Oryzias latipes: one gene and its partners. The protein of the gene in region 3 interacts with the protein of the main gene of each other region in a pairwise test. Links are inferred from orthologs where the notes say so. Each region holds a gene or a part of one and is shown on either strand. Other genes may lie near its edges.

Region 1 (7,999 bases), on a different chromosome or scaffold from region 3:
TGTTTTGATTGATAATTCATTACACTTCAAACAGCAGTTTAATCTGATCAAGTAGTAGTGGTTCATTTCAAGAAATCTAACAGTGTTTGCAGTAATGAGATTACTTGAGAAGTACTCCCCATATTCTTCCAATAATACTGGTAAATTATTACTCATTTTTAATCAAACTATTTGTTATTTAGATGACTTTATTAATACCACAATGGGAAAATTTCATTTATCTGTGGCAGCAAAAACAACATCCAGAAATAATCTATATAATATAACGTCAAAAAAGGACATCAGAAATGACATTCATATTAAATAAATATTTAACATTAAATAAATACAGCTGCAAAAGTGTAAAAAACGTGGTCTGCAAAACATGTAAACTGTAAAAAACATGTAAAAACTTTTTTTCATTTTTTTTTTCAAATACAGACATAAGTAATGAAGTTCACACCAAAAACAAACAACTGGATGGATGATCAACATAAACAACAAAAATAACAAATAAACATACTTTGTCATTGTGGAATGGCATTATGAAAGTTTGGTCAGTGCATCATTCATTCATAAAAATGCATTTACTCAATTACAATTATTGACAGCTAGTAAAAGGTGCATCAGTCGTTTTGAAACAAGTATTTACAATTATAGTGGTAAAATTGCAAAACAAGGGCAATTATAATAAATACACTTAAAAAATACATCTTATAAACATAATACAGTGAGTTTTTAAAAAGACTTAGTGCAGTTTCAGCAGCTGCAATAACATTTTTTATTAATGTTTAAAATATTTATTACAGTAAGATTAGAGCTGTTCTTGAGATGATTTTTATTTGTGCCTGTTATCTTTCAGTATTGTATATTGTACAAAAATCTAACATTTATATAAAGAAATATGCATTTTTCCTGACTTGTGCAGAACAGTTTATAAAAAATTTGTATTTAATTACTCCTTTGCGGATATAAGAAGGTTTTTAAAGCACGTTGGTGAAATCATTGATGGATGATCATTACTGCACTGGAAACTCCTATTCAGACATAATTTTAGCCCACACAACACTCCCATATGGATCTGTCTGTATATTTTATGTAGGAACAAATTAATATTTTACAAAAAGTCTCGTAAAAATTTGATGACTCAGTGCTTCCCTCTCAACAACTTAGCACTTCAATTACAAGACATGACAATGCCTTACCGTTTCAGATGTCCAGAAACGGTTTTAAGTATCACAACACTTCACAAGAGACATGCAAAGTCTGTACCAAGAAAATTTCCTTGCCTTACTGGAGAAGGTTAAGAAAGACCTGAAGAACTGGGAAGTTCTCAACCAGTCTCTTGCAGGGAAAGTAAATAGTATAATAATGAATATACTTCCCAGATTCCTTTACCTGTTTCAGTGCGTCCCCTCTACATCCCTAAATCTTTTTTTAAATCTGTCGACAAAAGCTTTTCTTCATTCATCTGGAGCGGTAAGACCCCAAGACTCTGTTTAAAATTATCACAAAGACCTAAGCATCAAGGTGGCTTAGGCCTACCAAACCTGTGCCAATACTACTGGGCCTCTAATGTTCAAAAAACGATAGATTGGCTCCAAGCTTATGACATCAACTGGTATCGATTTGAAGCCTCCTCCTATAATACAAAAACTCTGACAGCCCTAATTGGATCTAGTCTCCCCTGTGTCATTTCACACTATATTACACACAATCCAGTAGTTACCAATACCTTTAAAATTATGTTTCAATTCAGACAGACGTATGGACTCACTCAAGTGCTTACCACTAGTCCTATACACAAAAATCACCTTTTTCTCCCTGGTCAGACAGACTTCGTATTCATGATTTGGGAAGTGATTAAGGTACAGTATAATCAACTTTAAGGACATGTACCTAAGCGGTATATTTGCAAGCTTCAATGATCTTGCTTCCAAATTTTGTCTGCCTCACTCTCACTTTTTTTAGTACCTTCCAGTGTGTCGCTTCCTTCAGCAGCATGACCCTAACTTCCCTAACATACTGTGTTAGATGAGGTGTTTGAGTTGCCACTCAATTCAAAAAGATTCATTTCCAAAATCAAAGACTGCAAAATTCCTGCTTCCATCTTTGTTGTTTGATTGTCGACTGGTTAATTCAAAACTTCCAAACTTATGTAATACGTTCTTTGTTTGTTGGAGAACTGTTTCCAACATTCTACAAAACTCATTCTATGTCCCAGCATTACACAAAAAAGTTTTTTAAAAACCCAATTTTTCCAAAATACAAAGAAACCCATTTTAAACAATGAATGCAGTATACCCATGCAAGGAACTGCTACATTTACGTTTTGGTTTTCAAGAAAATAACTGTTAATAAATATAAAATCACTTGATCATCTGTTTTTTGAATGTACATATGTTACCAGTTTTTGGGAGTATTGTGTTTGTTGGTGCTCCTCAAAGTTTCCTTTTCCTATTTCTATTCCGTTACAGTTGTGAGTACTTTCTGGTGATAATTTATTTGATTTGGCATTTGATACTTTATTAAATTCTGGGAAATTCTTCATCAATGAGAGCAGATTTTTTTAAAATCAAATCATTATTCAATACATTTCATAAAGAGATCTGTTTACATTTTAAATCCTTGGAATTCAAGAAAAACAGAAATGCAATAAAACTGTCAATTTTCATTGAAGATCACATGTTGTATGACCATACCTAGTGTGAGCTACAATTCTAATGTTATTTATTTATTTTTTCTTTGTATTGTATTCTTTTTTCTTTTTATATCTTTCTATTGTAGTTATGTGAATGTGTACGTGTCATCCTTTGAAGTTCAATAAGAATAAAATAAAATAAAAAGTTGGTGAAATCAACGCTACAGGAATGGGCTTTTAGTTTGAAAGGACGGATGTGACGTACTGTATTTTCGGTGAGGTTCTTTCCGGTTAGCTTACAGACATGAAGGGTCAGTTAAAGAAAGGTGTGGAAGTAATACCAAGCCGGGAAAACTGCGTTTATACCAGCTGTTATTGGTAAAAACCAAGTTTTAACAAATCAGAAAAGCAGCCCACTGTCCTGCAGTCTTTAGTTTTGTGTCAATAAATCATTTATTGTCAAGAAAAACATCAAAATGCTAAGCGGATCCGCTCGGCTAATCGATATTCACAGTTTACATTGTTAAATGTTATACCCATTTTTAAAACTGTTATAGTGAATGAGTTATTTCAATGCCATCTGTCTAATTAATGATTGAATGAATTTTCAGGGAAATATAGTTCATTTTAATCAAGTGAATGAGTGGCTAATGCTGCTTTCCTTTACTTTCTCAGTGAGGAAAATGTTTGGAAGCTCTGTGAGTTTATTCAAGCACAGAAAATGGTTCCACTGGACCAGTTTGCTGTAATTTTCATCTCTAACGACACCAGAACGGTAAGAAGATCTGGAAACATTTTAAACGGCTTAACAAGACAATCGAATAAACAAAATGTTTGCTTTAAAAATAATATTTCAAAAAGTACCTCATACTGAGAATGATGGGCACCGAGCCCTCAAGGGTTCAGGTGGTCTCAAGAAATATTTGAAAGTAAATAACAGGCCTTCTCTGTAAAAAGAAAAATCCTTTTTGCAAAACATCTGGTAGTTTCAAAATACAGCTACAGTGATCCCTCGCTATAACACGGTTTACTTTTCACGGTTTCGCTACTTCACGGATTTGCATCGTGCATTGTGTTCTGCATTCTGATTGGCTAAAAAGTCACTTCACTTCTCTACCTGTGCGTCAATAACATTGCAGTTTAATATGTACACGTACGTAAATCAGCGTGCCAAATTTACAACAGATACGTGCAAATCATCTTGCAATTTCGAGTTTCTCTATAACCCATGAAAAAAAGGAGCGACAACAACAACTGCCTATCACTATGTTCTTCTCCCGAACAAACACAGCTGCACCGCGGGCTTCAAAGGGAGACTGCAGAGCGGAGTCAGGATGCAGCGGCTCAAGAGCAGTGAATTACACCTGAGTCACTATTTGTCTGACCGTACTTTGTATTTTTTTAAAAATCATTTTAAATATCTTCCCGTTTAATCCAAATACTCGGGTCGCGGTGGGCGGGGCTAATCTCCGCGATTTGAAGCCTTCTGTTCACATTGATGATTAAAATTCTTATTTGACAGTACAATACAGAAGATATTTGTTGAAAAACCTTTTCTAAAGTACTTTTATTTGTGAAACAATTCCTTAGCCTGTAAAACGGTTTGTTCTTTCTTTTCAATGTATAATAGAGAATTTAATTGTATAATAATTGTTAAAAAAAAAGGTTTCTACTTCACGGATTTTGCCTATCACGGGTTCTTTTTGGAACGTAACCCCCGCGAAAAACAAGGGTTTACTGTACTCCATTAATTGTGTCCAAATTGGAGGGCTGTGTTCTTCCTGGGCTGCATCTGAAGGCTGCTTACGTAACATGTTGTCCAAATTCAACAAGTCCTTTAAATATGGCCACCGAATACAGCCTTCTTTTTACCCGATTTCAAGGATTGCTCTGGTGTACCCTTCTATGCTGTCCATATCCCAAGATGCATAGCAGTAGAACCCGGATATTTTCTGACAACAATGGCTCCATGCCTGGTTCACTCCTCCTCCCTGTTCGGGACTCACGGTTGCTAGGCAACAGGACATTCACTGATGTAATGGCTGGAATTATCTAAAGGCTAGACTCGTCCAAATTCACAGCCATTAACATCTGACCTACCCGCTCAACAAAGGACCCGAGTAACATCGCCAGGGAAGACTGCGGCCATTGAAGGACGCAGACTTCGAATTTGGGAGCACCCAATATATAACGCTCAAATGTTGTGAAAGCGTCTCACTAAAACGGTCAATCAAACCAAACAAAGAAGTTCATCAAACAAATAGGCAATCCCTAAAACTGGCCACTACACACAGTACATTACAAAAACCAAAGAAATCCCGGACAAGCCCCCAATTTATGTTACACCCCATTTTAGGAAAAAGAAATACTATTTAATAAAAAAACAACCAAATTACTGTATATTTGCAGTATAAAGCACACTTAAAACCCTTAATTTTTTTATTTAAAAAGCAACAGTTTGTCTTAAAATCATGATCACCCTATCTATTAATTAGTTATGCTGCAAACAAGGTTGGGTGTTATTGTGAATACCCTCACGCGGCTAATGTGTGGCGATGTTGGACTGTTTTTTTGGTTACCAAAAAGGTTGTGTGATAGCGTAGTCACGGTAACGTTTGTTTTAGCGCTATCAGTCTGTTTTGTCCACGTGCTGCAAGCAAAGTAACGTGACTGACTGACGGACATTTCTCTGACTCTTTAATCTCACTTAATCTGCCTTGTAGTTCGGTGTGCTCTATATGTGACATATGCTCAAAATAGACCATTCATTGATGTTGTGCTTGATAATCCGGTGAGCCCTGTAGTGTGGAAAATACTGTACAAAGAACAAAGCCTGTATGTATGTTCTGCCCTGGAGATCCTTGCCCAGTCTGGTGCTCTGGACAATTAGGCACAAATGTGCAATCAAAGCTGGCAGAGGAGAAGGAAGACAGAAAACCTCCCACTCCAGCAGAAAATATAAAAGAAAATAGAGAGAGAAAACCCAAATGTACAAAAAAGCCATCACACTGTCATTTATCCATAAATTTTCTAAATCTGCTTAATCTGTTTTGAGGTCGAAGTGGTTGCTGGAGCCTATCCCAACTACTGTTGGGTGAAGGTGTGGGTACAGTTCCTCTGTGTGTCGCAGGGCAGGGCTCTTTTTTTTGGAAAGTAAATCTCTTTCTTCCTTTATCTGAAACTCAAGTTCATTATCTTTTCTCCGTTAGGTTCCTCTTTGGAGACAAAAGTCCGGACATGACGACCGGCCGGTGATCTGGGTGTGTCAGACCCCTCCATCTTTGAAAGTTGCTGTGGGAATCTCCAAATGACCATGAATGGTTTTGTCGTTCTGTGTTGCAGGACTACCACGTGATCCTGCTGAAGGTGGGTGTGAAGTCAGACAGTGTGATCTATGATCTGGACTCGGTGCTGCCGTTTCCCTGCAGCCTGCGGCTCTACGCAGCTCAGGCCCTCCGGTCGGACCGCAACCTCAGACCTGAGTATCACAGGTAATAAACGCAAAGCAGACTACTGGTGACGCACCCATAAAACACCATAGTAACCCGGATTTTATGCCAGGAAGTTGCGAGTGGTTCCTGCGAACAGCTTCTTGTTGAACTTTGCGTCCGATCGATCTCACATGAGGAATTCTGATGGAACCTGGAAGATGCCTCCCCCATCATACCCCCCCATTTTTACGGCTGGTAAAGATAATGTCCCCCTGTATTAGCAGGCCTAATATAGCACGTCTTATGAATGGTTAATGATACCATTAATCTGCGGTGTATTTTCTCCTCAGAGAGTAAGATGAACCTGGACGACTTCATTAGTATGAACCCCGCCGTCGGCTGGGGAACCGTTTACACTCTGGATCACTTTCTGCTGAAGTTTGTAGAAGCTGCCTCTACGTCTGCTTCATCATCAACTACAGCGTTGTAGCAGCTGCTGGTTGTAGCTTCAGGTCTTGAGGTTGGAGAAGGATTTTCCTGCTAAAGACCTGGTGGAGCCAGCTGCAGGTGAAAGTGCCTCCTGACAGGGAAAGACTGTTGAGGACTTCCATTTGTTTGTGAAAATGTGGCCCAGTGAAATCCTTTTCCATCATAAGAAAAGTATAAATGTAAATATTCTGTACAGATTAAGGGGTAAATGCATAGTTTTCTGGTAACTATGGAAGCAGATCTGTTTTTTCTAATTTTGTAAATTTTTATGTAAAAAGTTTACAAAAATAAACTTTTTGAGACAACTGAGCAGCTTGACTTCCACACTCTTAGAAGAATTAAAGACAACAAATGTTTGTAAAAATAATTAATATGAATGAAGTTTAGCCTCAAATACAAAAGGAGTTTATACAAATATACTCCTTGAGTGCAATGATTCATAAACCCCTATTGAAACAGGAAAATCAGTCTAACACAAGAGGCCTTTTAGCTTTTATCTGCTGGATCAGCTGCTGCACAAGACAAGTTTTTAAAACATTGAAATTTCAACAGTTTTATCTCATCTTTACTTCATAAAGTAGATAAAATTATTTAATCTCAATTGTTTCAATTCAGAACAAAAACTAATCAGTGTCAGAGAAGCAAAAAACCTAAATATTTTGTCCAAAATTGATTTATTACTAATCTGAAATGATTGTTTTTTGTGAAAACAATAACATTTAGTATAAAATTGTCAGTCATCTTAGTTTATTGTGTATTAACAACACAATATAATCAGCACAAAGTGTAGATTTAAGGTTCCCACTTGCTTACGGTTAGGGTTACTGAGACCTTAAAAATGATTATTTCGTATTTTAGCCCTTTGTTGTTGGAGCAGGCAACAAATAAGGATTTATTTGTTCAAAATGTCCTTTTCAGATGAAGCAAAACTGTTAAAATAAACAAAACTTGAAGGCACTCTGGAATACTTTGCATCTGAAAAAGGGACACCTTTTGTCCCATCACATTTCTAAGATATATATATATGTATATATATACTGGTATATCTATTTTGCTTTTCCCTTTCCAAGAACTTCATGTAAGCAATTTAGGAAAAGATCTTTAGAAATCTTCACTGAGGCTTTCTGTTGACTGTAGGTAAGGGTAGAGAGAACACGTGTTTCTCTGCAACAGTTTGCAAAAAGTCTATAAAATAAGAAAAGCTTTCACGTTGGTTTCCAGAAACCTTGTTTGTCATCAGAGCTCTTCACAAAAACATCGCCGTAATCTACTTTTCTATACTTGCTCCATTATATTTAGCCTGGGGGGTGGGGGGTGGGGGGTGTCGGAGTATATTCCAGCTGTCCCAGAGTGACAGACATGGTGGTATGTTCGGGACAGCTGGTCAGTTTCTTCTTATTGTAATGTGAGACAAACAGGCATATTTACATTTGTCATTTAAAACCACCTTAATGTGTGA
Region 2 (7,765 bases), on a different chromosome or scaffold from region 3:
TGTCTAATGCAGATGGATGTTGAATGGATGAGAGTAATACTTATGTTCCAGATTTCCTCTGGAATCTCCAAATTCAACTCTTGCTCCCAGGAGTTTTTCAACGGATTTAGTGACGTAGGATCAATGAGATGTAGTTGATGATATATTTGCGAAATCTGACCTTTGGTGGCAAATTGAGGTTGCAGGCAACCAGGAAGTGATTGTGTTGGATAGGTGGTGAAGTGTCTCCCTACGAAGCTGCGGACCTTTAGGTATATGAAAAAAATGAGACTTGGGAATATAAAACTTTTTACAGATGTTTTCAAAGGCATGAATGAACCATCAACAAATAAATCAGTAAAAAGCACAATTCCTTTGGTTTTAAAACCAAAATCATTTAGGGCAGGTGAGAAAAATGGATTGGTGAGTAGATGAGAGTTTGCTTAAACCCAAAGTGGCGACGACATCAGAGGGGAATTTCTAATGAACTCCAGCCGCTCTACAGAAACTGTAGAAAACGAAAACTGTCCTAGAAAACGACACAAGTTCTTTATATCTAGACAAAAAACGGCATCATCAACATAGAAAGAATGCTTGCAGTAGGTCAAGAAAGATTGGGGTGGGACTTTGAAGAGGACAGTTCGCTGAAGGTTTTTTTTTTTTTTTTAAACCACAGTGTGTTGGTATTTAAAGCTTTTCTTTTATGTTATTATTTGGGATAAAACAGCAGAATATTTCAACCCCTTATCCCTTGTGCTTTCCTAGGCACTTTAACGTTGGGTCATCTAGACCCACTAGACAGTGCACTGAACCTTTTTTCTTCAATGATTTGTGATCTTCACTGGTGTCCATGGATTACATTAAATCTTTCCACCTTTATCCACCTTTGTCATGGTAGGGAGAACACGTCAATGTAAGGGGGGGGTCATCTAAGATAGCACAAGGGAAAGAAACTAAAAGCCCAAGCAAAATCAATTATTTTGAGGTTAACAATATTTAAAATAGTGTGGACCTTCTCATACCTTTTCCCTCCTCAGGCCGGATGACGAGCCTGCAGATGAGCGCGCAGGAGGAGATGGTGGAGAAGTTTCTGGATGCTGCCGCCAGAGGCGACCTGAGCCAGCTGTCAGCTCTGCTGTCCCACAGCCCCTCCCTCCTTAACCAGACTGGATACAGCGGCTGGACGGCGCTGATGCTAGCCACACGCAACGGCCACCATCATGTGGCGGAGAAGCTGCTGTCACTCGGGTACACGCCACTTCCTCTGAAAACTCTCCGCTTATACCTTTCTAGAGATGATGGTTTGGTTTAAGTTAACAAGCGTAAAGGTTAAAGGCAGCAAAGGCAGTCTGGCCCGGTTTACATGTGTCTGAATAGAAGCTCTTTCCTTCTGTAAATCTGTCCTTCAAGCTGCAACAAGCTCTGCACAAACAGCTCGTCTCAGACCGCCTACGACATCGCTAAGTTCTGGGGTCACGGACACATCGCCCGGCTCCTGAGCCGCGCGGACGACGGCACCCTGCATGGCAGCACGCTCCACCCGCAGGAGAACTACTTCAGCAGGGAGACGCTGGACCGGCTTAGTGGGAAGAGGAGCGACGCGGGTTGGTTAGAAGCCAAACAGAGAGACCCGGACACAGTCTACCTCCTGTTCTCCAACCTCAGCCCCATGGCAACCGTGACCAAGGACACCAGCGGAGACGGGGTACATACCTCTACCTGTGGCTGAATGCAGTAGGGTAAAGTTATGTTCACACCTAACGGGATTTGCACAGCGGGGCCGGACAGTTTCAATGTTAAGTGAATGTACAGACATGATCCGGCACAATTTCAAGACATTTTTCTGATGATAAAGGACCTAGATAAAGAAAAGTCATCTTAAAATTTCATTTCTTCTTTTTTCTTTGTTTAAATCCTTGTGAATCAGGAGCAGATGAAAAAATTCGAGTTGAAAAAGATCATATTTGTGACGTAAAAACTACAATCGGCCAATCACAAGCTCCCTCCTCCGCTCCATTCTGATGCATTCACAAACAGATCCGTGTACGTCTTTGTCTTCCTCGTCTGAGCTGGAATCCAATGTTGCTCGCCATTTTCTGTGAGGTTGAAGGTGTAAGCTGGCAGGTGAGCATGTAAACAGATGGGTGACGGGAAGTGGGAACGGGGTTGCTCTGCACCGAATTAACCTCTTCCAGTCTGCAGAAACTATGTTTGAAAAGACAACTGGGAAGACTTTGATCAAAAGATGATCAAAGTGGGACTTCTGGTGGCACGATTCACCAGCGGCGAAAGGTTTTAGGCGCCACTGTGTGTCAATCATCCAGGAACTCAGCTTTGACCCGTAACTCGTTGGGAATGTAACCAGCGGGTGAAGTCTAGAACAAACATGGGAGGCGGATCTAATCGTTCTCCTCCTGAACTTTGACATTTTTCTTTATTTTTTGTAGTTTACTTTTCGGCACACCCCTTTAGGGATCGCCACAGCGAATCAGCTTTCACGGATTCACACAGGTGATTTGGCAGAGATGCCCTTCCTGACACAAACCTGTCATCTATCTGGGCTGGGGTCCAGATAAGTTCCCCCTGGGAATCAAACCCTGATTTCTCATGCACCAGTCCTACGCGCTGAGCCGATAATAAGAAGGTCCTCTAGCTGGATGGTGAAGCTCAGCATACTGGAAGAGTCTCTGGATGATCTCATGAACCCAGACGTGGAGATGTATCACACTGCCTTTTTAGAGCTCTTCACAAAAAATGAACCTGATGTCTCATCGTCATCCGTGTCTTTCATGTAGTGATGAGGCTAAAAGCCTTTTGACAGCAGCTCCTCCCACATGCGGCGGGAGCGTAAAGCTTATGATCACAGTTTGGGTAAACATCATGACTATGACGGGCGACAAAACAGAGGCGGCGGCGTTAGGTTGAAGACTTGAATGTCTGATGTCCAGCATGGGAACGGAAAGCCCATCAGTGTCTTGATGATCTTCAAGTCTCTAAAGACATCTTCTCTGACAGGCAGACCTCAAACTGTGCCGGTTCAGGTACAACGCAGTGAAGGACCTTCTCCAGAAACCTGCGACTGTACTCATCTTCCTCGGTGCTGAGAGGACAAAGAACTCTTCCTCCTCCTCCTCTCAGATGGAGCCAGGTACCCCAGATACTCCGGTTTGGTTTGCCATCAACGCCGATGAAGATGCGGCGGAGTTACTGAAACGCTGTGAAGACAACGGCTGCTTCTTCCCAAAGACCCCAAACCGTGACCTCCTGAGACTCGATGAGGAAGAGGCCGGTGAGGAAGACTCCAGTCCTGTCACCTGTTCCGTCCTGCCTAGTTGTCCTTTAACTGAAATTGTGTTCCGGTTCTGTCCCGAGGCGTGGTGGCCCAGGCCCGCTCCGTCCTGGCCTGGCACAGCCGCTACAGCTTCTGCCCCACCTGTGGGAGCCCCACCAGCCTGCAGGAGGGGGGGCACAAGAGGAGCTGCCTGAACCCTGAGTGCAGGAGCCTGAAGGGCGTCCACAATACCTGCTACCCACGAGTCGGTACGAGCACCAATCCTCAGAACCGGGACTCTAACAAGAACCAGTTCATCAAGACTCGTTGCTTCATTCATCATAGCTTCATGTTCAAAGCTTCAGTTTCTGCTTTGATCTTTTCAGACCCGGTTGTCATCATGCTGGTGATCCACCCTGATGGAAACCAGTGCCTGCTGGGTAGGAAGAGCATCTTCCCTGCACGCATGTTCTCCTGCTTGGCCGGATTCGTAGAGCCTGGTACGTGCACACGGGTCCGCCCGCACACGCTACTCACACACGAGCTACAGAACGTGCACTGCTTAGTTTGCACAGTAGGTGGCGCTGCTGTCCTGAACATGGATTTAATGTTTGTGACCCAAAAAATATACAGGAGAGTAGATATGTAGAACCAGGATTGATGAATACATAATATTTATGTGAATAGATAAAAACATCCTAACCTCCCCCCCTCCTCACACAGGGGAGACCATCGAGGAGGCGGTGAGGAGGGAGGTGGAGGAGGAGAGCGGGGTGAAGGTTGGTCCAGTCCAGTATGTGTCCTGCCAGCCCTGGCCGATGCCCTCCAGCCTCATGATTGGCTGCCATGCCATCGCCACGTCCACTGACATCAAAGTGGACGAGGATGAGATTGAGGATGCCCGATGGTTTCCACGACAACAGGTACGTGCGATCTGTGTGAGGCTTCAGAGCTCTGATTTGAAATGAATCCTCCATAAAATGTCCGTTTTTGTTTGCGTGTTCGGGGACTTCACGATCAAACTCCTTTGGTTCCTGTGTTAGTCATTTATGTTGAGACGTATGAGGCCGCTGAAAGTTTGCCTTTCACTTCAGGTGGTGGACTCGATGTTCAGAGGAGCTCACCAGACCTTAGTCATCCCTCCCAGACAGACCATCGCCCATCAGCTGATCAGACACTGGATCGGCATCAACTCCAACCTCTAACATTCAGAAACGCAAAGCTCTGCACGTGCTCCACAAACACAAAAAAAACAAACAAACACAAAGATTCAGACACGTTTTACCTTTTCGTGATAAATATTTCTCCACTTATTTTGAAAGTTGGCAGACAACCATTTGAATAAATGTTCTGAGGCGAATAAAATGTGTTGGAAAAACGCATGTCCAACAAAACCATGTGAGTCTGTTGATCCATTTTCAAAGTGTTGTAACAACCAGCATGAAAATAGAGTATTTACAAAAAATTAATCAGGGTTCTCCTTTCTTTTCTAACTGGATGCGTTTGTTTGTTTCTTTTTCTCGAGTCATACAAAACAACTCCAACACAACACGATGATGTTTCCCAGTTACGTTGTTATTTTTAAAAAAAATATACATATATACAAAAAATCCATCCTTAGTTGAAACCACCACCCAAATAAACCCAGTCTTTGAATTATTTACACAATACTTTAAAGTTTCTCTGGCTCTTTTGTCTCAAAGATGGTGGGGCTTGTGACGCTGCGTCCGCGTTCCGATGGAAAACGGCTTCTTACCGGATCAGCTGTGTCGGAAATCGTGTGACTTTCTGATAAAGGAGGACCTTTGGAATGGTGACAGACAGTTCCGGGTTTTTCCTCAGCTTTTGTTTAGAACCATCCTTTGCTAATCCATCCATCAAGCGGCAGTCAAACGTCAAACCCATCCAGTTTTTTTCTCCTTCTTCCTCCTCTTGACTTCCATTCCCTCCTCCTGCTGTAATTAGCTGTAATAAGCCACACCTGAGAGACAGGAAGTCATCCGCAGGAAGTCTCTTGGCCATATTTGTAGTTCCATAAAACACTCATTTACAACATAAACAGTCAAAACATGAATACATAAAAATCAAACCATAGTGTGCTCACATGATAAAGAAAATGAAATACTGGACCATTAATACTGTTGGCTTTGGAATGGAATGCAGTTACTGTCTATTATCCCAACAGAAAATTATCATTTTATGTGGCACCCTTGTGCTATCCTAGGCACTTTAACATTGGGAGTTGGGTCATCTAGACCCACTAGACAGTGCTCTGAACCTTTTTTCTTCAATGATTTGTGATCTTCACTGGTGTCTATGGATTACATGAAATCTTTCCACCTTTATCCACCTTTGTCATGGTAGGAAGAACACGTCAATGGAAGGGTGGGGTCATCTAAGATAGCACAAGGGATACAACAAAGCATCTCTGAGTGTGGGACAGAAGAGTGCACATGTTGTACAGAAGATCCTTTTACAGTTCTTTTATTTTCTTTTTTTATGCTTGTTTTTTGTGTGTGCCAATGTCTCTTGGCCAGGTCCCTTAAAAAAAAAGAGATTTCATCTTAAGGGACATCCTGCTAAAATAAAAGTGACCTGTAATAACAATAATGACGTTTTTAGCCAAAAAAACAACAACCTGTGTCTTTTTTTAGGACAGCAGTAGTTCAGGAGTCATTTGCCTCTGAGTTGTTAGCGGGACTATCAGCAGGGAGTAAGCCTGCCCACACTTTCCGTCATCCATCTGTTTACACGCTCTCGCGCTAGCTTATAGCCTCTGAAACCAAGTTTAGATGGAGATTCCAGGTCAGACGAGGAAAACAAAGACGTACACGGATCTATTTGTCTGACAGTGAATGCATCAGAATGGAGCGGAGCACGGAGCTTGTGACCCATCCATCCAAATAAGCTCTTTTTCAACCAACACTTTTATGTCTCAACAATCTGAATAAAGAAATACTCAAAAAATCCATTTTTAGGCTTAAGTTTCTTTATGTTTGTCCTTCATCAGAAAAAAGCAGAACATGTCAAAAACATCCTTTTCCTCGGAGTGGGTCTTTAAATGCTGTAACTTGTAAATGTCTCGCCAAATCCCTACTCCTGTCTCTGGATCTCTGCTCGCATTTACTCTCAGACATTAGAGTTCACTTTTAACCCTTGTGCTATCCTAGGCACTTTAACATTGGGAGTTGGGTCATCTAGACCCACTAGACAGAGCTCTGAACCTTTTTTCTTCAATGATTTGTGATCTTCACTGGTGTCCATGGATTACATGAAATCTTTCCACCTTTATCCACCTTTGTCATGGTAGGGAGAACACGTCAATGTAAGGGGGGGGTCATCTAAGATAGCACGGGTTAAACTCATGTGAATGTTTTCCTCGTAAATCTCTTCTCATTGTGCTTGAAAAATGTTAACCTAGGTAAAACACAGTGTAGCCTGTACAACTCTAAATGGGATTTGATTCCATGGAAACAGAATGCAATGAAATGCCAGTCGCCTGCTGTACAACAGTGGGAGTCATATCCAAAATGACCTCTAACCTCTTCACATTCTCAAAAGACCAGCTGCCTTGCATCAAACGTGTTTTATGAAACCAGAAAACATGTTTATTCATAAAAATAAAAATGTTCCATCTTCTTTGGAAAAATGTTAGCATCCTGGTATTTTCCTGCAGGTTCCACAGAAGTGGGTACATTATCTGATCAAATTAAGCATAGCTGTAATTTCTAAAATAATATGATAGCCTTTTTATGCTAAATAATCCATTTTTGCTGCACATTGCTATCAGAAAAATGTAGATAAAACTACCATCATGACGGTAACATCTAGAAGCTGCTTCACATGTGTTTTCAGTTCATCTTCCTGACTTGTTCTGGAAAGCAGCATCACAGGGTGTATTTGGGGGAGGAGGGGTCTCCACTGGCTCCCCTGAGCAGTCGCTCTGGTCGCTCTAATCTTCCGTTTCCACCTGGAAGCAGCTGTTGGACAGATACTCCGTCTCACACATGAGAGGAGAGCAGCTCTGTCCTCCCAGAGTCTCCGTCATCAGGCCACCGCAGAATCCATCAAGCAGGAGTTCACGAAACGGACAACCCTCTTCGTCTTCCTGAGACCGACAGAGGTCATATTCACGCTGATGGAGATGCTCGGCAGTCTCATCTGTGATCTGCGCAGCAAACAGTGAGAGCGCCGGCAGCTGGTCATGGCGGCTGCTGACCGCCGCTGGAGAGAAGTCTTCATCCAGGGCTTCTTCAGAGGGTCGATGTACGCTCAGGTCAACAGAAAACAGCGTCTTCTCTGCAAGAGCTTCCGTCACCTGGAAGTCTGCAGTGTCCAGGATGCTCCCAGTGAACATCTGTTGGACGAAAACAGAACGGAACCATCTAACTGCTAATGGACTTTGATTTTTGTAACCCTTGTGCTATCCTAGGCACTTTAACATTGGGAGTTGGGTCATCTAGACCCACTAGACAGTGCACTGAACCTTTTTTCTTCAATGATTTGTGATCTTCA
Region 3 (7,267 bases):
ACATGAGTCTCTCTGCCTTCGACAGGTTCTTTACGGAAACTCCAAACACAAGTTCGTGGTTGAACCTGCGCACAGAAGCAACCGCTGAAGGTTAATTAGATGTTAAAGTTATTTCTCATGTCACCAGTGTATCAATGTCAAGACTGAAAAACCTCCAATGAAGAGTGATTATTCTAGAATGCTTTTGGGCAGGAAGATATGACCGTAACCCCAAACACTTTGCATTTTTCACTCTGTTTTTGTCTTATCATGAGCTAAAAGACAGATAGCTAATGTCTAAAGATGGAAACTAACCCTAATTACAGCTGCAACAGATCTGTCTGATGGATGAGCTCAGCAGACATGATACCAGACGTATGGCAGCACTAAGCTGAACTGGTTGAGTGAACAGATTTAAGCCTGGCGCCTGCAACTCAGACAGAGCTGCAGCAAACACCTGAAATTTATTGAAGAAAAAAAAGCAAACACCTGAAAGGCAGATGCCAGCTATGTTCTCCTCTGTGAAAATGGGTTGACACCTTATGAAGGTTGACTATTTTTATTAAGTTATAGCTGTCAGAAAGGAAGAAAAGTGAAGAGCCACATAATAGTGATATATAAGAAATATTTTCAAACCATGTTTGCTCTTTAAATTTCTTTTTTCTAAGTTGCAATTTACATAATTTAATCTTTTCTCGGCAGAGCTGTTGACAAAATAACACACGCTCCTTGAACTACTGTATAAATTTGGCCATTACCGCAATAAACGTGATTCCAACAGACTCAGAAAAAAGTGGCTTTACATCGATATGCAAAAGAGTTGCATACTCATGTAAAGGGTTGCATATCGGCGCAAAGTCACATTGCTTTGCTTTAGAAGCAGCTTATTTACGTTAAATCTGTCAGGACTTTACTACTGTAAAGTGTCGCATATCTGGCCAAAACTTCTGTTTAATCTAAGGGTGTATTCAGAATAAAAAAAATCATTTGTTCCGGATCGAGTCCTGAACCTTGCGTTTGGTCAATACAGACTGGCATCAAGCGACCCATTCTGTCACGGACCAAAGCTTGTAAACAAAACCACATGACTAAAGATCTCTTCCGACATTGGCCAGGAACTACGAGGGCGGGTCAAAACAACGGGCTGCACTTTACAATTCTTATCGGGACAGTTAACTTATTAAAACTTTACATTTCGATGACCAGTTTTGAATGTCTGGATCAACGCTTTTTACTTGTTACTTTGGTACGGTGGAGGCGTGGTGCAAGGAGGTCACTGGCAAGGAGACGTGCCGTGTGAGCTTTAATGTTAGCAGCTGCAGTGCTGAGGAGAAAATGGCTAAGAAGTTACACTGATAAGGGTTTATGACATGTAGATTGTCTAGAAAACAATGAAAGGCAATGTGTATCACGTTAAAAATTGCTGTAATCTGACCACATTTCAATGAATTGCTGTGTCTAATCGTTGTTTTACGTATTATTTTAGGAGAATTCTGTTAAGGAGCTACAAGGTAGCTTTTAGGATGATATCACGGCAGTGTGTGCCACGTAACGAGACACAGAAGCGCATGTAAGAAGCGTTTTTAGCTGTGTTAAAATAAACTTTCTAACAAGTGAACAGCTAGACCCTTTCTTCTGTTTGATAACACGACAATCGTTGTTTTAGATTTGTCCATGGACAAATCTGGAAAATTTGCTCCAGATTATTGAGAGAAACAAACTCTGGCTCACTTTAAGATAACCAAATGTGTCCACCCTGAATACACCCTAAATCACACAAGGGTTTTCCCTTATTGTTACTCACACATTCATGTCGTTAATGCCCAGTTTGCCATGGAAATGCTTCCCTACATCACAGCCAAACCACACGGCCTGGCATGAGAAGAACGAGAGCACAAAAGTCAAGTATAAAAAAAAGTTCAATTAGGTTGACAGTCATTTGGACCCTTCCACCTACCTCCCCAGCCTTAATAGAATCGGCTGCAGCTTTTTTAAGCAGCTGGATGGGCTGGTTGTTGTACAGAGTGTTGTGACCTCCAACCATGTTGCCCAAAAACTCAACAGTGTACAGCTTCCCGTACGGGTTTTGGGGTCGAGGGTCATTTACAAGGCAGACCTGAGGGTCATGGGATCAAAACATGGGCTCAGAAACAGAATTACAAGTGGCAGGTTAGGTAACTGAGGTGTGGTAGAGCAGTGTTTTGTGTGCATACTTTGTCCTGAAGGTTGTATAGGGGTTTGACATGTTCCCTGTAGAATTCCTGGGGGGTTAGAGGTCCCATGCGATGGAAGTTCTTATCCTTGTCTCGATACTCCCAGCTGATGGTGTCGGGAGGGCTGCCTAGACACACGCTGGCCACCCGGAACACCTGCGCAGACGGAAGCATTTTCATTTTACCGTCGATCTTAAAGCCGGTCAAAGTTGACGTACAACAACGGTGTTTTTTCAAGTAGACAATGACTTTTCAGCCCCAGAACACTGTCCTTGCTTTCATCAAGTACAGTTTTCCGATGTATATAGCAGAGGATATTCATTCATTCATTCATCTTCTTCCGTTTTGTCCCTTTCGGGGTCACGGGGCTGCCGGACCCTATCCCAGCTACTTGTGGGTAAAGGCAAGGGACATCCTGGACAGGTCGCCAGTCTGTCGCAGGGCCACATATCACACACCCATTCAGTCTAACATTCACACCTATGGACAATTTAGAGTTGCCACTTGACCTATGAAGCATGTTTTTTAACGGTGGGAGGAAGCCGGAGACCTCGGAGAACACGGGGAGAAAATGCAAACTCTACACAGAAAGGTCCCCCATTGATGTTCTGTTTCAAGTCCCCCAGCCAGAACTTGAACCGGGGGCCTCCTTGTTGTGAGGCAAGGGTGCTACCCACTGTGCCACGGTACATTCTATAAATAACCCAAGATAGGGGGAATCCGCAAAGTAGGATTGCATGTTTTAGGGCTGTCAAACTCCTCACTACACACAGTTCAACATTTTCAGACTTTTCTCTCTTTTTTAAACTCTCAAAGTTCAAACATTCACAGAAAAATAAGCAATACAAATAATTATAGAACAAAAAACAAGGATTTGATCGCGATCAAAGATTTATGTTACTCTGGCGAGGTGCATGTGCCACGTCTCTGTACAGGAGACAGCACAGTAAAGATAGATGGACATAAACAGCCATTCAGGATGTATAACATAGTGTGCTACTGAAAAGTTACGCGGAAAAAATCCACGAAACAGTGAGAACGTGAAAGATGAACTGCAATATGGAGAGGGAACACTATAACAGGTTACGCAACTCAGTTACACTTAATTTATCAACCTTTTGTAACAAATTGTAGTCTTAAAAGTAAAAAACAAAATCAGCGCTGAGTACAGTCAGAAAGAACACAAACTTGCTGTCTACTTGTGAACCAGCTTTTATGTGTGCTGGGTAAAACATTTATAGGACACAAAATAAACAATAACCTCAAAAATAGTAATCTGGGTTAATTCATCAATGAAGTTAAAAAGTTTAATTTTTGCTTTTAAGTATCCATCAATGCTTAAAGGAGTGCAGGATAAAAGAAGAATTCCAATAGTGTCACCAATAGATCCAATAGTGGTAGTTTTATTTTATAATAACACTTTTTTTTTACTTGAGTACAATTTTTGGCAGCACTGTACCTGCCATGACACTTTTCGAGCCAAGACCTCGGTATAACCTCCCCTACAGCTTCCTTTTTTCCATCCTTGCTTCCCTCACCACGTGCTTCTTCCTCCCGTGCAGGAGTTCAGACAGAGGTCCTATGGGCTAAACCGGGTTGTTTGGACTGGACCGTCTGTCTATCTGGCCCTTCCAACCTCTGATACAGTTATCTCTGGTATTTCCCTTTTTTTTCACTTCTCCTTTTGGTTTCCTCTCCCAGCACTTAGCGCATGCTTTTCCTATCGAATAGAATTAAGCGAAGACTGAGGGATTAATATGAACAGCAGAGCAGTGGTTGTGATCGATGACAGACTAGTAAATGCACTGAGAAAGACGGATTTGACAAAAAGCAGAGTCCCAGTAGGTCAACAGCCCAGTGTATCCTACTCTGAAAAAAATGTAATTGTGAAGCCAAATGAAAACACATCACACTCCCACTGCCTTTAACTTTTATCTTGCTACATGTTATAAACTGACAAACAAATGCACATCTATAAAGACAAAAAAGACCAGTAAATATACAAATTCACTCCTTCAATAGTTTTCTGAGCCGACTTCTTTTCAGTTTAGCCACTTTGTTTACGTTGACTTGTGAGCAAAATGCGAGCCGAGACGTTTGTCAACTTATGTTACTCAAAACGCGCCCTGATGCTTTTTTTTTCTTGCAGATGCCCTGATGAATACAGCTCTGTAAGAGTCAGCCATTCGTTGGTCCAACCGTAGGACCACTCATCACATCCCGCTGAGCAAAAGCAGGGGGCAGGACCGAAAAAGCCGAGCAGACAGATCGACACGTGAGAAAATAAACAGTTGCGGCGACACCCGAGTAGGATCAATATTAGAACACCTGCCGCCGTAGATTAATAGGAGTTGAAAGTTTAAAACACAACAAAAAGCTAACAACAAAAACTAAACATAAAAGTTCACAAAGTAATTCACAGGTTTATGCAGTTCACTCGAATTATAAAACAAAGACAAAAAGTACATTTGAATGCTTTAACTATTTAAACATGTACTTATTGTTAATCTTTCATCTTTGGATTCACAAATGCATGACACTTGCTTGAACTTAAATTGATACTGTAACACCACCTCCTCTTAAAATTTATACATATTTCTTTGGTTTTCTGACAAAGCGATTTCAGGAGCCATTTCAAAGTGATACTTTCACAATCAAATAACCTTTCAGCATTTTTACAGCAATGTCTGTTAAAGGAGATTAATACATTTCATACTTATTAATACAGATTTTATTTTGTTCAGATTTAGCGTTGCTTTATTGAGGTTCATTACAACCTTGGTTGAATGTGCACTTTAAGGACTGTTGCAGCAGTTAGTAAGGATGATGTTCACTGCGTTGTCAAGAATAAGTAGAAGTTGCAGATTAAGAAACAGTTTTAATCCACATCTTATTTCCTTAAAGTACTGAATCATAAAGCAGTGGATGCAGTTTATTTTTCCCAAAAAATGCAAGTGTGGATGTTTTGTTTGTTTATGCTACGTAAAGGAGGATAGTGTCTTTAACCAAACAAGATGAAACTACAGAGTGTTAACCAGCACGGTATTTCTTTGTTCAGGGAGTCTGAAGCCAGGAGTCTGCTGAAAAAATAACATCTGCAAGTCTACATCAGGGCTGCCCAATCCTGGTCCTCGAGACCTACCATCCTGCCTGTTTTCCAACTCTCTCTGTCCTTCTTGCTGCTGATTACCTGGATAAGCCGTGCTCCGTCAATCAGAATGAGGAGACAACTGAGTCAGCTAAGAAGACAAAGCATGTCACATAAGATGAACTATGTTCATCAAATGCATATTCTTTGACATTAGTCTGTCTTTCTTAGAAAGAATGTAGTCTTCAACTGTAAGTATGTTTTACTTTAAATAAACATGAAGAAATGACTGCACTTGTGCTCTGAAGTCAACGGCAAAGACAAATATATCTAAAGCTATAACTATTTTTTGCTTTAAATGTTGTGCCTTGAAACTTCTGAATAGTAAAAAACTCTTTCCAAAACCTTGACATAAAAGAGACGGGGGATCATTTGTTGTGAAGTTGAGCACAAAACTAAATATTGTGGTGAGCATTCAGAGGTCAAATGCATTTCTGACACAGCTGAACGCCACACTGAGATAAAACATGCCCTTCGCTACAACTCTGAAATCAATGCATAGCTTTTGTCTAGAAGCTGGAATTGAGAGCGTAAGCAAATGACACCATGCAAACAATTTGGATAAAATTGAGTGAGGTTTTGATGAAACGTCCATGTTTTGTAAATAATCCACACATGTGGTCATTGTTAAATCCCAACAGTCAGTGCAGAAATTGACAAAACGTGAGCAGACGGGCTGTTCCTGCACACATGTAGAAAACCCACCCACATCGAGCAGCAAATGAGAAGGGCTGACAGCTCCAAAAGTTCTGAGCGGCATCAGGAGGGCTGCTCTGTGAGCTGATGGCCGTGTCATAAATAAAGATCGTCTTCTACTTGATCTATGCATTTGGGGGCCAAGTTCAGAGGCGCACATGAGGTTCCAGATTCCATGACGCAAAGGCGCACGGAAAGACTACAGTCATGGCGTGTGGGGTAACATCTGTGTATTTTTCATATGTGATGCGCTGCATATATGTCCAGTCTCCAGTGATTGTATTTTCTTTTTTCTCATTTCAGTGTGCTGACGACTTGTCCATGCAAATGATCGAACAGGGGCCCTTATACATGCTTGACACAACATGAAAGAGAAAGACAGACTTTGAAATGTAAACCATTGTCCATAGTACGGACTGTCAGCTCAGAAACACACAAGACCCCACGAACGCTCCCGTTCTTACAGCAGGTGCTGGTCAAAGTGGATAAGAGTGTTTCTTTTGGCCAATGTTCCTAAATTAAAGATTTCTCTCAACAAACCTGCCTGACTGGGGCTAGCAAAACGAATAGCTTCTTGACACGCAAATCTATCCATTCTAGCCAAGCACAGCACAGCACGGGTCCATTAAATAGAAGCAGAGACGATGACCTGTCAGGCGAGCGTGTTTATGGTTGGTCTGACAGAGAGCAGGGCACAAACCCGATTGCCACACAGGCAGTTAGACATCATCCGCTCTATGCAAACTAAAGTAAAACTGACACGACACTTTGATCCTGCCTAACACATATGTGATCATGCAGAGGAAACTCAACACAGACACTTGTGTGAGGCCGACCAGTTGAACAGAAGTGATTATACAAAAGCGCAGGATGGCCAGACATTTAGTCATGAGGGTATACACCAGGGGTGGGCAAACTACGGCCCGCGGGCTGGATCCGGCCCGCCTCCATGTTTGGTCCGGCCCACTGAACAATATCAGAGACCCATGTATTTTTTTGTTTTTTTATCTGGCCACACGATCAAGACGTGACATTTTACTCCCCCCTTCTGCAGTCTGTGCTCCAACCTAAAACCTTCTAAAATCTCTGTCAAACAGAATAGAAGACAGTCTTTCCTTTCTATGTAGCAGTTCATCTTTCCCGGTTTAACTCGTCCTTTTAGAGCGATTATTCTGCCTTTTTTAAACAACGCACCCTGTTCCGTGTCCTGATTGGCTGGAGACCTTGTCAA

What was found.
Region 1: the proteins of blmh (region 3) and wdyhv1 interact in binary tests that used the Homo sapiens proteins (3 or more experiments, as listed by UniProt). The two-hybrid records come from large-scale screens. The link is inferred for Oryzias latipes from reciprocal best matches to the Homo sapiens genes BLMH and NTAQ1.
Region 2: the proteins of blmh (region 3) and nudt12 interact in binary tests that used the Homo sapiens proteins (3 or more experiments, as listed by UniProt). The two-hybrid records come from large-scale screens. The link is inferred for Oryzias latipes from reciprocal best matches to the Homo sapiens genes BLMH and NUDT12.

Annotation. Positions count from the first base shown.
Region 1 is NC_019869.2:4,809,792-4,817,790, reverse strand, and holds wdyhv1 (protein N-terminal glutamine amidohydrolase), read left to right. Parts: upstream 1-2,877; 5' UTR 2,878-2,924; coding exon 2,925-2,998; intron 2,999-3,295; coding exon 3,296-3,395; intron 3,396-5,829; coding exon 5,830-5,880; intron 5,881-5,962; coding exon 5,963-6,111; intron 6,112-6,181; coding exon 6,182-6,306; intron 6,307-6,401; coding exon 6,402-6,541; 3' UTR 6,542-6,849; downstream 6,850-7,999. UniProt on the Homo sapiens protein: Mediates the side-chain deamidation of N-terminal glutamine residues to glutamate, an important step in N-end rule pathway of protein degradation.
Region 2 is NC_019867.2:29,176,617-29,184,381, reverse strand, and holds the end of nudt12 (peroxisomal NADH pyrophosphatase NUDT12), read left to right. Parts: intron 1-1,016; 5' UTR 1,017-1,021; coding exon 1,022-1,227; intron 1,228-1,389; coding exon 1,390-1,684; intron 1,685-2,994; coding exon 2,995-3,268; intron 3,269-3,351; coding exon 3,352-3,519; intron 3,520-3,636; coding exon 3,637-3,750; intron 3,751-3,973; coding exon 3,974-4,173; intron 4,174-4,344; coding exon 4,345-4,455; 3' UTR 4,456-4,719; downstream 4,720-7,765. Other genes in the region: interleukin-12 receptor subunit beta-2, read right to left, coding at 7,203-7,607. UniProt on the Homo sapiens protein: mRNA decapping enzyme that specifically removes the nicotinamide adenine dinucleotide (NAD) cap from a subset of mRNAs by hydrolyzing the diphosphate linkage to produce nicotinamide mononucleotide (NMN) and 5' monophosphate mRNA.
Region 3 is NC_019871.2:27,593,916-27,601,182, forward strand, and holds part of blmh (bleomycin hydrolase), read right to left. Parts: intron 2,349-7,267; coding exon 2,193-2,348; intron 2,096-2,192; coding exon 1,937-2,095; intron 1,852-1,936; coding exon 1,784-1,851; intron 66-1,783; coding exon 1-65. UniProt on the Homo sapiens protein: The normal physiological role of BLM hydrolase is unknown, but it catalyzes the inactivation of the antitumor drug BLM (a glycopeptide) by hydrolyzing the carboxamide bond of its B-aminoalaninamide moiety thus protecting normal and malignant cells from BLM toxicity.